2 linked regions of the Alligator mississippiensis genome follow. Each later gene encodes a partner of the first gene's protein in a complex. Links are inferred from orthologs where the notes say so. Each region holds a gene or a part of one and is shown in the gene's direction. Other genes may lie near its edges.

Region 1 (7,168 bases):
TCTCAATGGTCTAAAGGGGAGGGTGGGGGTAGAAGGTCTGGGCAGCCTCCACTCCTCCATGCTCTTGCCAAGGCATACAAGTTGAAAGTCCAGGTGACCTCTCTCACATACACCATGATCCCGAAGGACTGACAGTTGCCTACTACTGAGGGTCTAATTATGGGGTGAAACAGAGAGTTTACAAAGTCTGTTGTGCCTTGGTGGCTATTGATAACCACAACAGCAACTTCTGTACAAGTTACTGTGATACTCTTAAACACTTCTGCAATATCACTAATGAAAACATTCATCAACTCTATTAGAGTTGGGAAAAGTCTCTAAGTCACATAAAGGAAATACTTTTCCTCCTAAGTGAAGCACATGATTATACTTCTAACAAATGCTACATTTGTTTAATTTTCATACCATAGATTTAGTTCTAGTATCTCAAAGAAAACAACACACCTCCCTTGATCTGTGTGACATAAAAATACTAAAGTAAATATTACAGGGAAAAGTCTAGCATAATGAATATCATTTGCCAAATAGGACTGTTTCTAACAATTCATCTTGCTGGAGCCTTGACTCTGAGCAAAGCCAATGCTTTAAAACTAGTTGTCTAAGCCTAACACAAACATAATTTAATTGGGCCTAACTCTCTACTGCCTTCACCTTGTGAAGTCATTGGCATCAGTCTGAAGTGAATATGAAAAAACATCAAATCAGAATGCAGAATTTTGCACTTTGCACTTGCTATGTACTGGTTTTATTTTTATGCAGGACAACAGTGAATCAGACTTACGAAAACTAATCCTTTCTTAAAGTGGAGTCACCCCCCTCATCTGCTCATCTCTTAAAGACACCGAGACATCTTAGTAATAGTGTAAGGTACCTCAGTGGAGACATACAGTTGGTGTAATCATATTAGTGGAATATGAATCTGCGTAATCTCACAACCTCTCCAAGAAGTATCACCTCGTTCCGAGTAAAAGAGATAGTGGACGATACTGGTGACAAATGCCCTTCACATCTCTCTGGATTCAGTTTAGTAGGACTGAATAGATTCAGCACAAGGCATCCCCACTGGCTATTGCAAGATATCCTATATGTTGTTAATACTTAATGTGCAGCAGAGTGAAATGCCTTTGAGGGGTCCAGAATATACACACATTTGCTTTCTCTCTCAGGCTGGCAATATGATAGCTGCCAGTGCTAGCTTTCTCTTGTTCAGGCAAAACAAGATTTCTCACTGGGTAGCCTCTCATCCTTGAAAACTGAAAGCTTCATACTTCTTACAATTCATCACCTATGTTACCCTTTGTATAACTATGACGTGTCACAGGGACTAATATCATCTGCACTATGACAGCTCTCAAGAAAGCCACTTGAGGCTGCCTTAGGGATACAATGTCATCAGGCAGTCAAAGACACACGAGGCTGCATATGTAGTAGCAGTGTGCTCCTGGTAAGATTTAATGGCATTAATTATGGGGTTCATCCCTTGGCCTCACTTAAGTCTTGAATGGACACTGAGATTCTTATACTAGTGAATAACCAGGATTCATCAGGGACAAGTATAAGAATCCTGCTGAATAACCAGGACTGAATATTTGTACAGGAGGATCAAGTGAAGGGAAATCTTAAATGTCTTTATCAGTATGAGGGGGACAAACACATCTCATGAATAACTTCCTATATGGAATGGTCCTGTTATCGAGCACAGGGATTGCCTAACTTGGTCAGAACAGTGGGATCCAACTAATTCAGTAACCAATCTCCATTAAAAAGCCAATACCTGATATTTTAGGCAGTGCAAGAAATCTTATAATGGAACGGTCTGCAATAAACTGCATATAAACGTTTCTGCCATTCTTCATAGCTGTAGATATCTATCTCCCTTATTTTGAAAAAATAAAATAAAAAAGGAAGTAGGAAAGAGCTTGCAGTTTGGCTAGTATGACACATCTTACTACAAGCACTAATACACCTAAGGTCAATGATCTTATGGAATTCATTTCTGGACACTGGAGAGCTAGCTAGCACTGTAGAAGGTTTTTAATAGGGGCTGAATAATCATGACCAATAACAACTCAATAGTTATTCATGTTAATAGAAGTGTAATCAACTTTGATTTACCTTTTTTTTAAAGCATGCCAGCAACATGAAACACTTGTCACTGACTCAAGCATTAGGACTGGGTACAAAGGTGAAGGACTACTCTGTTGACTCATTCTGGCAACTGGAGCAGATTGATCTCCTTAATTACACATAAGATATATGGAAGCCTGATTCCCATTCACATGCTAATTGCTATGAATTAATATTGTCATCTCCTATTTCAGGATACAACCTAACCACTCCTTTGGGTGGGTGCAAACAACCCCCACCACTGTGTGCAACATTGTAAAGTAAGCATTTATTTTTATTATTTAACCTTCCTCTCAAACATCAGATAATCACTTCTAGAAGCAGAATACCAGATACTGAATGCAGTCTTTGTGCCTCCTATGGAAGAAATCCAAGTGCAGAATTACACTCTTAATTATCTAGTGTCTGATCTACTTAATCAATTCATACCACATATTTTTCCGATGAAACACTAGTTTTAATTTGATAGGCTGCTAGGTCCTCCAAGAAAATCAAAATGCCGGAGAGAAGTTTCAGGGGTTCCGATATTCCGATACCCAACATGAACTACAGGCAGCCCCCAACTTAGGACTTTTCAAGTTGCGATGAATGTCGTTTATGATGTTTATAAATTGACACCCCATTTCAATGCTGGTTTCATCTTTACAACGGTCGATACGGCGTGTAGCTGGTAAGTGGTGGAAGGGGAGGGAGAGGGGAGATCAATGTCCCCCACAGTGAGGGAGGGGTCGGGGCTGGGGCAAACACTGTCCAGCCAGGGCTGATGGGCACCAGGAGGAGGGGATGGCGGCTCCCACCACTGTGCACCGCTTGTCTGGCGGCTCGACTAGTGGTTTCCGCTGCTAGTCCAGGAGACCATGCTGGGGGGGCGTGTGTCCCTGGATCTGCGTGGGGTGGGACAGGTGGGGCCGGGGCTGCACCACGCAGGCAGTGGGGGCTACGGTGAATTTTTGGGTGGCCGCAGCCCTCCCATAGCCCCACTCTGCCCCAGTCCGGGGTAACACTGTCCCTATGAGAAAACTGGTTCCGAGTCCCCATATTTCAACTGAAGACGCAGCTTTTCATGAACCAATTGCGTCGTCAGTCAGAGGGCTGTTCTTCTGGCTGGTCATCAAACAATAATTTGGAGCTCAGATCTACTCTTTATCCCTGGCTCAGTTCAAAAGAAATAATTACGGGGCAATCGTGATGACCAAGATCTGCAATCTGAGCCACTGGGGCAGCACAGCGATCGCCAGCCACCTAGAGAGGAGTTGCGCTGCTTTGGCTCACGCTCTCAGTGCAGCGCGGGGGTGGCTCCCTGGACGGACCGCCGGAGCAACGAGGAGCGCTCCACCTCCTGCCCGCAAGCTGGGGGGCTGCAGAAGGGGTCAGGAAATTTGGCAGCGGGGGGGGGGTCAATAGTGCCACCCGTCCCTCTGCCAAAATCCCGAGCAAGTGGAAGCCAGGCCATGGCTATGCCCCCTGCACTGCTGGGTTAGGCGTCAAGCTATGATCCCTCCCCCAGCCACGTGCAGGTCTGGACCCCTTCCCTTCCCTCCCCTCCCCCTTCCCTGGGTGTGGCTGGGCCGGGCCTCCTCCCCTCCCCGCCCGGCTCCCTGCAGCGTGGAGTTGGATGGGCAGGTTCATGCCCCTTCCCATGTGGCGCCAGACCAAGCCCCCTTGCCCCACACAGCTGGATCCGACACCTCTCCTCGCTCCTCCCGGCGGGGTCGGGGCGGGGCGGCCTACCTGGGCAGGGCCTCCAAGGGCTCGCGCTGCTGCCCACCCCCACCAAGCAACCCCACGGCGCATGCGCCACCGCACCGACAGCACAACACACGCACGACTCCTCCCAGCCGCTCCCCCCTCCCGAAGCCTCCAAGTGCGCAGGCGCGGGGCGGCCCTCCGGGGCGCATGCGCCGTGTCCCCTCCCCTTTCCGGAGGGCCCCCTCCGAGGGTGACGTCAGGGCGGCGGCCATTACACGGAGGGCAGCGGACGAGCCGCCTGCCGCTGCCGCCAGCCGCCGTGTGTGCGCGTCCCGCGGGCTCCGGCCGCCAGCGCTGCGTGCAGCCGAGCCGGTGCGGAGGCGGGAGTCATGGAGGAGAAGGTCTTCACCAAGGAGCTGGACCAGTGGGTGGAGCAGCTCAACGAGTGCAAGCAGCTGTCCGAGGGGCAGGTGAAGAGCCTGTGTGAGAAGGTGAGCGCGGGGCGCGCGGGCCGGAGCGGGGCGGGGCAGACGGCGGCCTAGGCCTCAGCCTCGGCCTCCTCCTCCTCGCGACTCCTAAAATGGCGCCGGGAGCCGCGGAGGGGAGCGCGGGGCCGCCCCCTGCCTGCACCGCACCCAGGCGCCCCCCGCACCGGGGTCGCGGCGCCTCCCTCCCTCCCTCCCGCTCGCCTCGTCTCCCTCCCCGCGCGAGTCGGCGGCCTCGCCGCGTCGCAGCCGGCTTCCCCGCCCCAGTGCGGCGAGGCCCCTTCCAGCCCCTGACACCACCCCCGGGGTGGTCGGGCCGCTCCGGCGCTCGCCCCCGTTGCCGAAACCGCGTGGCTTCCTCCCGACCCGCTCCCTGCCTCGCCAGAGACGTCCACGCCGACTCGCCCGCCTCGCGGGCAAGTGCCAGGACAGACGGGGGTGAACGGCTTCGGTAAATTTTCACAATGTTTTTAAAGCCGTCGTTTTGTTTCCTCCGAATTTCCCTGTCTCTAAAGCGTTTAATGCCCGAAAGGAACGCGTCGGGTCGCATCGCGGCCGTATTGGTCTAGAGGCGAAAGGGAATCGGGACTCCCGGTAGAGGTGATTTGCCTTGTTTTAGACCGATGTGAGCACCTACTTGGGACTCCTTTACGAGTCAATTGGTCTTGCTGGGATCCTGTGACCCTGGCTGACTTGCAGCCCCTGGAGCGGGGGGCCGGACTTGATCTGCCACAGTCTCTTCCAGCCCTAATGACTGTGAAATCTGTAAACTAGACTTTTGCACAAAAAAAAGGAAAGCGACAGGTATAGGTCGGAGCAAATTCATTTCAGCTTTTCTTCGCACAGTCTGTTCGGGGTGCCTGGTGACACCGTCGTGTCGCGTTGTGTGCCTGCACGAGTGAAAAGAGCGATCTCTTCCGAGGAAGCGTGTGGCTCGATGATTTGACTTGGAGCAAGAGATGCTGCGTTTCTGTTCCCAGTGATTAACTTAGAGCAGCAAGAGATGCTGCGTTTCTGTTCCTAAGGGGCAACAATTTATTGTGCAGGTGGAGCACGCTCCTCTCGTCATGTTGACCTTGTGTCCCAAATGGAGGTCTTGTGTTGAATCAAGTTACTTCAGGACTTGTAGCTGAAAAGCAGTGACAGCGAAAGAGAGGGGTGTTGTATATTCAGTATGTTCATACGATTTTAGCATGGAGAAAAAGACCTTTTGTGGCGTGTGCTTGGGAGAGCTGCTGATTACAGATTTGGGAGATGTCACTGATGTGCCCCCTTATGGTTGTCACTAACACTGAAGTGACAGGTTTGGCATTGTGCCTGTGACTACTGTAGTGTGCTGATTGAACCCATCTCTTTTTGTAGAGTGCCCTTGATAATCTCTATGAAGTTACACAAAGGTGCTTTCACAGACAAATGCTTATGAGTGTAGCATGGTCAAACTTTACCATTATAAAATATTCCAGTACTGTACTTCTATTCAAATTATGGTATGTGATGAGTCTCTAAATTGTCATGTTGTAAGTAGGAAAAGTGCTGCTTGGTATAGAATTTTTAAGGAAGAGTTTGGTATATCCCAAACAAGTGTTTCATACCAAAAAGGATTTGATTATTTTTTTGTGAAACGCTTGATTGTGATTTACCAACCTCTTCCTTAAAGTACTTTTCCAAGGGGTGGGTAAGAACCATTTAAGGACAGTCCTGTTTCCAGTACAAATTCCCAAATACTTGTTCAAGTAAAATACAGACAAACCCCCATTTAGCGCTCTTAATTGGTTCCTGAAAAACCAAGCATTAAAAGGAATATAGCATTAAGCGAGACCAGGTTTGTTTTTTGATGAACCAAGATGGTGACACAAGCCAACTGGCGCTAACTTGCACAACGAGACTGTGCTGCTGATGAGCTGTGGTGCTAGTGTACTCTCCCTGCTGCCAGCTGTGTGATGCCCATGAGCAATATAACAAAACTTGAAGAGTGGAGTTGGGTATCAAAGTAAAACGAGTGTTACAGCGTTAAGCGGGAGTTGCCTCCCGCATTTTATAGCATGCTTGGGAATACATGCTACAGGGATCGCTACGTTTTTAAATAACACAGTCACAATTTAACATGGTTGGTGGATGGGTAGGCAACACGAATGCAATTGGTGAATACTTAAGAAAGGAAACTCGATTATTATCGGTGTTCTCTCTCTGCGTCAAACAACCTGATTTTTTGCAGTTTGAAGTCTCATGGATTCATGGTTGTTTAGATACCTAAATACCTTTTCTGATCCGGCCCTTAATTCTTACATATTTATGAGGTACTCATTGCTGTAATACTTCTGTCTGTTCATGGGAAAGAAAGCTGACTTAAACGGAACTATTTTTGATGACCTTGTGTGCCAAGATGAGAACTGTCTTGAGCAGTAAGAACATAAAATACTTTTTTTGCCTGCTGTAGAATCAACAGGCTGTCTGGATATAGAAGGAAATATATGTTGAAAATTAACCTTCAGTTGCAAAGGGAGTGGTGTTCATTGGGCAGGAGAGACTGTAGAAGGAAAGTTTATTGTAAAAAACAAACAAAAAAAAAACAACATTTGGACTTCTAGGATAATTTACCTTAGAAGGGAGCTTGTATAGGGTAAATAAAAGATCATGATATTTAGAGAAGCCAGTAGAAGCAAGAGTTTTGAAGAGCTGGTGCACACTGAATATGGAGAAATGATCAGGTTATGGTGAATTAAAAGTGGGCAGGGATTTACTTGTCAGTTGTTCTCAGGAGACTGCTGATGTTACTGGTTCTTATCCCTCGATAAGAGGAAGCTAGACCACAGCAACTTTGCTCTTTTTCACGGGTGAGTAAGCAGTCATGGTTTGACAGAGACCTC
Region 2 (7,752 bases), on another chromosome or scaffold:
TGAGACATGCCAACTCAAGTGTTTAATTAAGATACATTCTGGGCCACATCTTTAACTTGTGTAAACTGGCAGAGCTTGAGTAAAGTCAGTGGAGTGATGCCAATTTATACCAGGTGAGGATCTGGTCCCATTATTCTTTTTTCTAATTATGCCCCTAATTACTGCACAGTTCAGACTACACATGGACTTACCCCACTGGATATAGTCAAATGGCTACTGCTTAAAAGTAAACCATATGAATTGGAAAATGTATCTAAAGGAAAAATGTTACCTAGGAGTTGCAGCCCTGCTGCTGTCGGCAGACTCTCTTCCAGTAACACACATCCCAGGAGGCCTGTATGTTTGTGGTGGAGCTAGAAACTGAGGCTTGCTGGTTTCACTCATCCCTCTGGTTCCCTTAGCACATGAGATAATATCTTTACTTGCATCTGTGGTTGGGAGAGAGCTGCTCTTGTCATAGGTTTCAGGGAATGGTTCCAAAACTAACGATATCTAAGAGAGACAATATAAAGAAATGCATGTGTTTTATTTCTGTGTGTTTTTTATACTCTACAGCATATTGTTGTTTCACTCCTAAATGTTATGTATTCTACAGTTATGCAGGGCACCAGCCTAAACTCTGAAATATTTGTTTGTTATTTCACATCACACAAAGCTAAGGAATCACTTTCTCCAGAGAAACAGTGCCAGGGTGGTAAAAAAAAGAAAATAAAAAGGATGTTTAAGTTTAAATATGGATTTGAAATCTAGTTTGAGGCCTTTAAAAAAACATAAAATATTCACAACAGTCAGTTTGCTAGCATGCCATGAATACCACTTCTCATGCTGACTGACACTGTTTCAGTGTGTGTGCATTTTCCCCTGTCCTTACCCATCAGTTACCTCCTGTCTTAGACTGTAGGGCAGTGATTCTCAACCAGGGTGCCAGGACACCGTGGGGTGCTACCAGATCTTTTGAAAGTTGTGAAGTGTGAGGTAATACGTGAGGTGTTAGGAGATAAGCAGATAAACTAAGCAAGTGCAGGCTCAGGCTTGTCCCTGCTTGAACAATTCCCATATTCTCACTCCCAGGCCCCTCCTTCTAGGAAGCAAGCACCATAATCTGCAAAATAGTTTTCAAATTGGGTGGCACTGTATTCACAAAAGTTATGGAGGGGCACCTTGAGTCTAATGAGGGGTGCAGCAAGCTCAAAAATGGTGAGAACCACTGCTGTAGGCTGAGACATGAACCATTCCTTTGCTTTTTATTCTGTAGCCCCTTGCATAGTGGTGTCTAGCCCCTGACTTGGGCTCCAAGTTGCTATAGGAATACAAACTATAAGTCGGAGGAAAGATTTCAGTACTACCTGCACTTCTCCTAGTTTCTCAGACGTTGGTGAAACAATGGTGAAAAATCCACTGATTGGATTGCTTGGAGAGAGCTGTGACAATCCATTAATTTGAACTTTGCCGATAGGAAGATGGTCAGGTTTGGTGATTACCTCTAGTACGAGAGCACCCATATCTACAGGAGACAGAACAGCTAATTTAGGTTTGGTATAATGCATTTTTAAGCATCTAAAAAGGGTTTATGCAAGTAACAACAGTTTGCTGCTAAAAGGCGATTAAAATTGAAAAACTAAAACAAGAAAATGAAATGCCAAGACAACAAAATAAGGTATCATTAAAATAAGATAGGAGGATGATCATATGTGCCATATATTCTCAGGTACAGGATACACTTTTTCCTCAAAAAACAGCTACTGGAAACTGGAGTGCACATTATGCAAGATAAATACTCTCAGGGTAGGTGCTGCCGCTTACTGGCAAAGTCGGCTGCAAGCAGAGCACCCTAATGGGGCAGCACGAAGGAGTTCGTATAGCTGGTGCCCATGCAGGACCTTGTTCTCTCCCTGGCTGCTGCTACTCAGTTACATACTACAAGAACAGATTTTTCTTCCTTCAGTCTGCCTCTCATAAACAAGGAGCGTGCTGTACTCCAGCGCATGTTGTATGTGAGAAAATACAACAGTAGGTAAAAAAAGTATTGTACTGTTAAGAGACAAGTATTGGACAATGAAAGATAATCGGTCCCATCTCATGGACTACTACTTACAATACACACACATGCACTTAAATAGGCTGCTTTGAAGCCCAATCCTGCAGTAAAGTCCATGTCAGTACACGATTCCCCTGAACACAACTCACTAAAGGATTAGAGCCTGAGAAAAAATGTGAAGTGACAGCTGACAGGATCTATCGTTACACTACTTCAGCTACAAAACCACACAATCTTTACTATGACATAAATGTGGTTATAAGTAACAGATCTAGAGTCTGATCCTCAAATACAACTGGAGGGCTGTTGATGCTTGGCAAGGTCATTCAGCACCTCCCAAAACTAAGCCTCAGCCCAGGTTAAATAATACAGCCCTAAAGTCTGATTCTAGTGATTCCACTAAGAGCTGCAGGCATGCTGTCCTTCTCAGGAACAGCCTCTCATCCTTGCCTCCCAAGTGATTTTGGCAGGAGGACTCAGCAGCATGCAATAGTGCATATATATTGCAGTATTGCAATACTACAATAGTGTTTTGCATGTCAAGGCCTCTGAAAGGTGGGGGGCAGGCATAAAGTGTCCTTGGAAACAAGGGGTGCTTCGTATAAGCCTCTTTCCGTTTCATGAAGCCAAGAAGAAGTAACAAGCTGGCTAGTAAACTCCGCGCTTTCTGACACTAGCTCAAGCTTACGGCATTAAGGCTGCAAGATGCAGATGAACACGTGCAAGAGGGTTTGTAAAAGCTTGTGCTATGTATGTGTATGTGTGTAGCACAAGCTCTCACAAACCCTCTTGAACAATGTGCGCACATGCATACACACACACACGGGCAGATCTAGGATTTTCACAAGGGGGGTGCACAAGGTGTGGCGCTTCATCCCACATAACATGTTTTTCTTGAAAAGAAACTAGAAGCTGCACTAATACATCAGGGGGCTCACACTACTTTATTCAGTGTGTGCGTGTAGCACAAGGTTTCATGAACCCTCTTGCATGTGTGCGTGCATACATGCACGTACATGCACATGTGTGGATCTAGGAGTCTCACAAGGGGGGTGCACAGGGCGTGGCACTTCATCCCATATAACAACACGTTTTTCTTGAAAAGAAACTAGAAGCCGCGCTAATACGGCAGGGGGCTCGCGCTATATTTATTCAGTTAAAGATCGAAGCAGAAAACAACAACAAGTCCTGGAACGTGCACCACTTGCTTGAGTACACATGAAGTTTTAAAAAATAAAAATGCAACAAACTAAACTAGGCAAACACCAGTCAAAGGATAGTGTATGGTTAGTCCTGCAGTCGCTGTAGTTAAATGTCCATCTCCTATTCACACGGGTGCAGGTTGTAGCCGTGTTGGTCTAAGGACACAGGCAGACACGGTTCTTTGGGTGAATCTGATCTCTTTTATTAGACCAACTGACCACGGTTTTTGAACCCAAAAGCTTGCTTAAAAACCGTTCTCCAACGATTTGTCAGTCTAATAAAAGATATCAGATTTTATACGAATAGGAGACGTCTGCCCGTCTCCTATCCAGAGTCGCAAAACCGAATCCAGCTGCCTCGAGCGCCGTGACGGCGCCTACGAGACGCCCCTCGTTAGTCGGACCACACCCTCGTTAGTGGGACCACGCCTGACTGAAGGTTTCTAGCTACAGCTAAACCCGGTCGGCCGGGCTGCGAAACGGAAGAGAGACGAGACCGGGGATTTTGCAAAGGGATGAAACCTCAAGGCCGTTAAAAAGCACAGAGAGGCGTTAACACCGACCGCGCAGCGGAGAGAACAGCAGGAATCGGGGAAGCGACAATGAGGCGCGACGTCGAGGACCCCTCCTTCCACACCCACCTGCACCCTCATACGCACGCTCGGACACACGCGTGCACACATCACCTGTACACGCATACCCTTAACTCATGAAGCGAGCCCCCCCCGCACCGATACACGCATATCCACACACACGTATGCATATTCACATGCATGTATACACATGTAGACACACACATGTGCGTGTGCCCATGCCCACACCTGCGAGGTAGGCGGCGAGCTGCGCGGGCCCGCAGCGCACGGGGAAGCGGGCCTGGCTGCGGCCGGGCCCGGCGCGGAAGAAGGTCCCGGCCGAGGCGTCGCCCCACCAGCGCAGGCAGAGCGCGGCAGCGATGGCGGGGGGTGCGGGCCCGGCCCACACGACGCGGCCTACTGTGACGGCGAGGAGGCCGCGCGGCGGCCCGGCCACGAGCGGCGGGAGGCTGGTGGCGGCGGGCACGGGCCGCGGCGCGGGGGGGGCGCGGGCCCGGCGCGGGGGCACCCCCTTGGCCCGCTCCCGCCTCATCGCCTCGCCGCTGCCCGGCAACCGCCGCCGCCGCCGCCGCGGGGGCCGCCGGGAAGAAGCGCGGCGCGACTACAGCCCCCAACGGGCCGCGCGGCACCACGCCCTCTCCCTCCCGCTTCCGGCTGGGAGGGAGGGACTTCCGGCGCCACTACCACTGAGAACGCTCCCCCTTGAGGAAGGACTTCCGGAGGGTCACTTCCGGCTTCGAGTGCAGCGGGAAAGACACGGGAACTTCCGGTGAGGGTGGGGGAGCGGACTCCATTTCCCAAGGTGCCGCGCGGTGTGGAGGGGCACTTCCGGTGGTGGTGGTGGTGGGGGAGGTGGCTGCTCGCTCGTTCCCGCCCGCCCGCCCTGCCGTCATGTCGGCCCTGGAGAAGCAGCTGCACCTGGGTCGCCTTCCTCCGCGGCCGCCGATGCCCGGCGGGGGCGGCCAGTCCGGCTCCAAGATGCGCATGGGGTAGGAGGGGCAGGCCCTCAGGGCATGGGGTGCGGGGGCTCGGCCAGGTGGGGAGGGGACTGTCCCTGAGGGGATGTGGGGGAGGAGGTTGGGGGGGGCGGGGCTCCTGGAGGTGGGGGAGGGGAGGTCCTTGAGGGGATGGGGGAGGGGAGGAGGTTTGGGGGCTCTGGGAGGTGGGGGAGGGGAAGAGGTTTGGGGTGGAGGGCTCTGGAAGCTGTGGGTTGAGGAGGCTTCTGGAGGTGGGGGAGGGGCAGCCCCTGAGGGGATGGGGAAGGGGCTTGGGGGCTCCTGGAGGTGGGGAGGATCAGTTCCTGAGGGGGTTGGGGGGGGCTCCAGCGGGTGGGGGTTGGGGGGGGGGCTCTGGGAGGTGGGGGCGGGGTAGGCCCTGAGGGTTGTGGGAAGGCTTCCTGAGAGCCGTGGGGATGGCGGTGGATGTGCTGGGGGGGCTATGGGGGTGCTGACTAGTTGTGGGGGGTGTCACTGCCCAAGCAGGTGGTGGCAGAGGAGGGGAGGTCCTGTTGGGGGGAGCGGGGTGCCTGAGGTGGGGGATGGGTTGGCAGAAGAAGGGGTGGGGGGAGAGGGGTTGGGGTGGGGTCCCCCACCCTGATAAGTGAGGGGGAGGCAGGGGCAGCTGGTGCAAGGGGGTGGTGGGGGTGGGGTGGTAGTGCCTGTTGCAGAGTGGGACAGGAGGTGGCTGAGTGGTGAGGTGCAGGGCGAAGGGTTGGCACAGAGCAGGGCTGCTGGGGGCAGGGGAGGGCAGTGCCCAGCGCCAATCAGCAGCTGATGGGGGTGGGGAGGGGGGGGTTGCAAAAGAGGTTTCCCATGGGGGCGCATGGGATAGGAGAGGGGGTAGCAGAGGAGGTGGGGGTGCCCTGTGCAGAAGCGAGCAAGGATAGCAGAGGAGGCAGGGGGCAGAGGTGGTAGGGTGCCCGGGGCAGGGGGTAGCGGGGGACAGCAGAGGTGGTGGCGGGAATCCGTTGTGGCAGAGAGGGTGGTTGCCTCTGGAGGGTGATGCTCAAGTACTCATTTGAGGTGCTTTTCTGCAGAGCAGGTGGTTTTCTTGGCGGTGATGTCATGTGTGGAACTAATAATTTGCTGCTTCTGGCGTGTTGGAGGGCTCGAGAGTCAAACTGGGCTGTTGGCAAATGTCTGTGAGTGAGGAGCGTGTCTAGACCCTGCAGAAGAGAATTAGACAAGCTCTAAAGTTTGGACTCCTGTTCTCTTAATTGTGCTCTATTATCTTTAAATGGGAGGTTAGACCCAGCTGAAAAACCTAGTAGGTTTTACTGAAGCAATCGCAGTGTTTTTTTTCCTGTAACCCCATTGTCCAATTGATAACAAACCATTACAGTCTCTCAGCTCTCTGTTCTTGGGGACAAAGTTTGGCAAAGGCAGCTCTTTCAGGATATCTCTTAAACAAGTCTTTTCTCTGCATTTTGTTTTACTCCCTGTGGCTGAGGAAAGGTTGTTTCCGTTGTGTTGTGGTCATTCAAGATCCATGATAGTTGAGCTCAGTGAAGAGAACAGTTGGATATTATTTTCCTGTAGCAGAAGTCTACAGGAAACTCTCCAATGGGTGAGCTGTGCAAGTCCCTGCCCCTGGGAGAGGCCATTTGGCCCTCTGGGACTGTGCAGTGTAGTACCACATGAAGCAAACAGATGGTGAGCTTTATGAATGAGAGTACATGCATCTTCTGAAAGCAGAGTGGGAAGGGGACTGGTCAATGAGAATGTGACACTGTGTAGGACAGTGTGTGAAAGAAAGAAGTTCAAGGGACCCCGGGCATCTGTACACGAGTGCACAGGCTCTAGCAGCCTCCTGTGTCTCGTGTATCAATGTCTCTGCGCTTAAAAATGGTGATGAGGTTGCTTGAACTAAAGCTCCACAAATGAGCTTTAATTGAAGAGGCTGTCTGAGAGCATGTATTAAAAAGCTTGAGAGCATGCTTTAAAGTGCCCGCAGTGACTATGGAAAAGGGGAGCGAGGGGGCCTGATGGGCTGGATTTAAGGAGAGCTTTGAAGGGGTGAAGATAGATTTTGTTTATGGATGAAAATAAGGGATCCAAGTTAAGAACGGTATTATAGTGATAAGATGCTGTATGATACTGGCTCAATTATATGGATGGCTTGTAGAAAGAGATAATATGGGACAGGCTGGAAAATGTTGGCAGTAGGCTCAGGGAGGGACAGCATGTGGGGATTACATAAACATTAGAGCTGGAAGGGACCTTATGAGATCGTCGGGTCCAGCCCCCTGCCCAAGGGGCAGGAAGTCAACTGGGGTCAAATCACCCCAGCAAGATAAGCATCCAAGTGTTTCTTAAAGGTATCCAGAGTAGATGCGTGCTCCACTTCTGGGGGGAGTCTATTCCAGACTGGAGACTCGGACAGTAAAGAAGTTTTTCAGCAGTTTGAGACTGACTGTTAGACCTTGTCTTCCCTTGGGGTGCCCTAGTGAACAGACATTGTCCCAGTTCCTGGTGTACCCCCCCTTGGTAGCAGCCTATAAGTATACAAGTCACCCCTGAGCCTGCACTTCTCCAGGCTGAAGAGTCCCATGGCTCTCAGTCTTTCATCATAAGGCTGATTCTCCTGCCCTCTGATCACGCACATGGCTCTCCTGTGGACTCTCACAAGCTTCTCCACATCCTTTCTGAAGTGTGGAGCCCAGAACTGGATGCAGTACTCCAGCTGCGGCCTCACCAAGGCCAAGTACAGCAGGAGGATGACTTCTTGGGTCATGCTTGAGATGCCTCGGTAGATGCAAGCCAGAGTTTTATTTGCTTTGCCAGCTGCAGCATTGCATTGGTGGCTCATGTTCATCTTGTGGTCAGTCATGACCCCCGAAGTCTTTTTTGGTCATGGTGCTAGTGAGTGTAGCACTACCGAGCCTACAAGTATGATGTGGATTTTTTCTCCCAAGGTGCAG

The links. The genes of interacting proteins can lie anywhere in the genome.
Region 2: the proteins of PPP2CA (region 1) and PPME1 are in contact, whole or in part, in a crystal structure (PDB 3C5W), measured with the Homo sapiens proteins. The link is inferred for Alligator mississippiensis from reciprocal best matches to the Homo sapiens genes PPP2CA and PPME1. Residues at the interface, in NP_002706.1 of Homo sapiens: His59, Arg89, Gln122, Val126, Tyr127, Asp202, Ile211, Ser212, Pro213, Arg214, Gly215, Ala216, Gly217, His241, Gln242, Leu243, Met245, Phe260, Tyr265, Cys266, Arg268, Cys269, Thr304, Pro305, Asp306, Tyr307, Phe308, Leu309; in NP_057231.1 of Homo sapiens: Gly84, Gly85, Met157, Asp181, Val182, Thr186, Ala187, Ala190, Ser193, Met194, Phe197, Leu198, Leu291, Trp298, Trp301, Phe302, Lys316, Val323, Asp324, Arg325, Leu326, Asp327, Lys328, Thr331, Ile332, Gln334, Met335, Gln336, Gly337, Lys338.

The regions. Positions count from the first base shown.
Region 1 is NC_081832.1:70,069,863-70,077,030, reverse strand, and holds the start of PPP2CA (serine/threonine-protein phosphatase 2A catalytic subunit alpha isoform), read left to right. Parts: upstream 1-4,109; 5' UTR 4,110-4,205; coding exon 4,206-4,307; intron 4,308-7,168. UniProt on the Homo sapiens protein: Catalytic subunit of protein phosphatase 2A (PP2A), a serine/threonine phosphatase involved in the regulation of a wide variety of enzymes, signal transduction pathways, and cellular events.
Region 2 is NC_081824.1:466,851,926-466,859,677, reverse strand, and holds the start of PPME1 (protein phosphatase methylesterase 1), read left to right. Parts: upstream 1-4,692; 5' UTR 4,693-4,724; coding exon 4,725-4,822; intron 4,823-7,752. Other genes in the region: C2CD3 (C2 domain-containing protein 3), read right to left, coding at 272-492, 1,347-1,504, 4,062-4,365. UniProt on the Homo sapiens protein: Demethylates proteins that have been reversibly carboxymethylated. Demethylates PPP2CB (in vitro) and PPP2CA. Binding to PPP2CA displaces the manganese ion and inactivates the enzyme.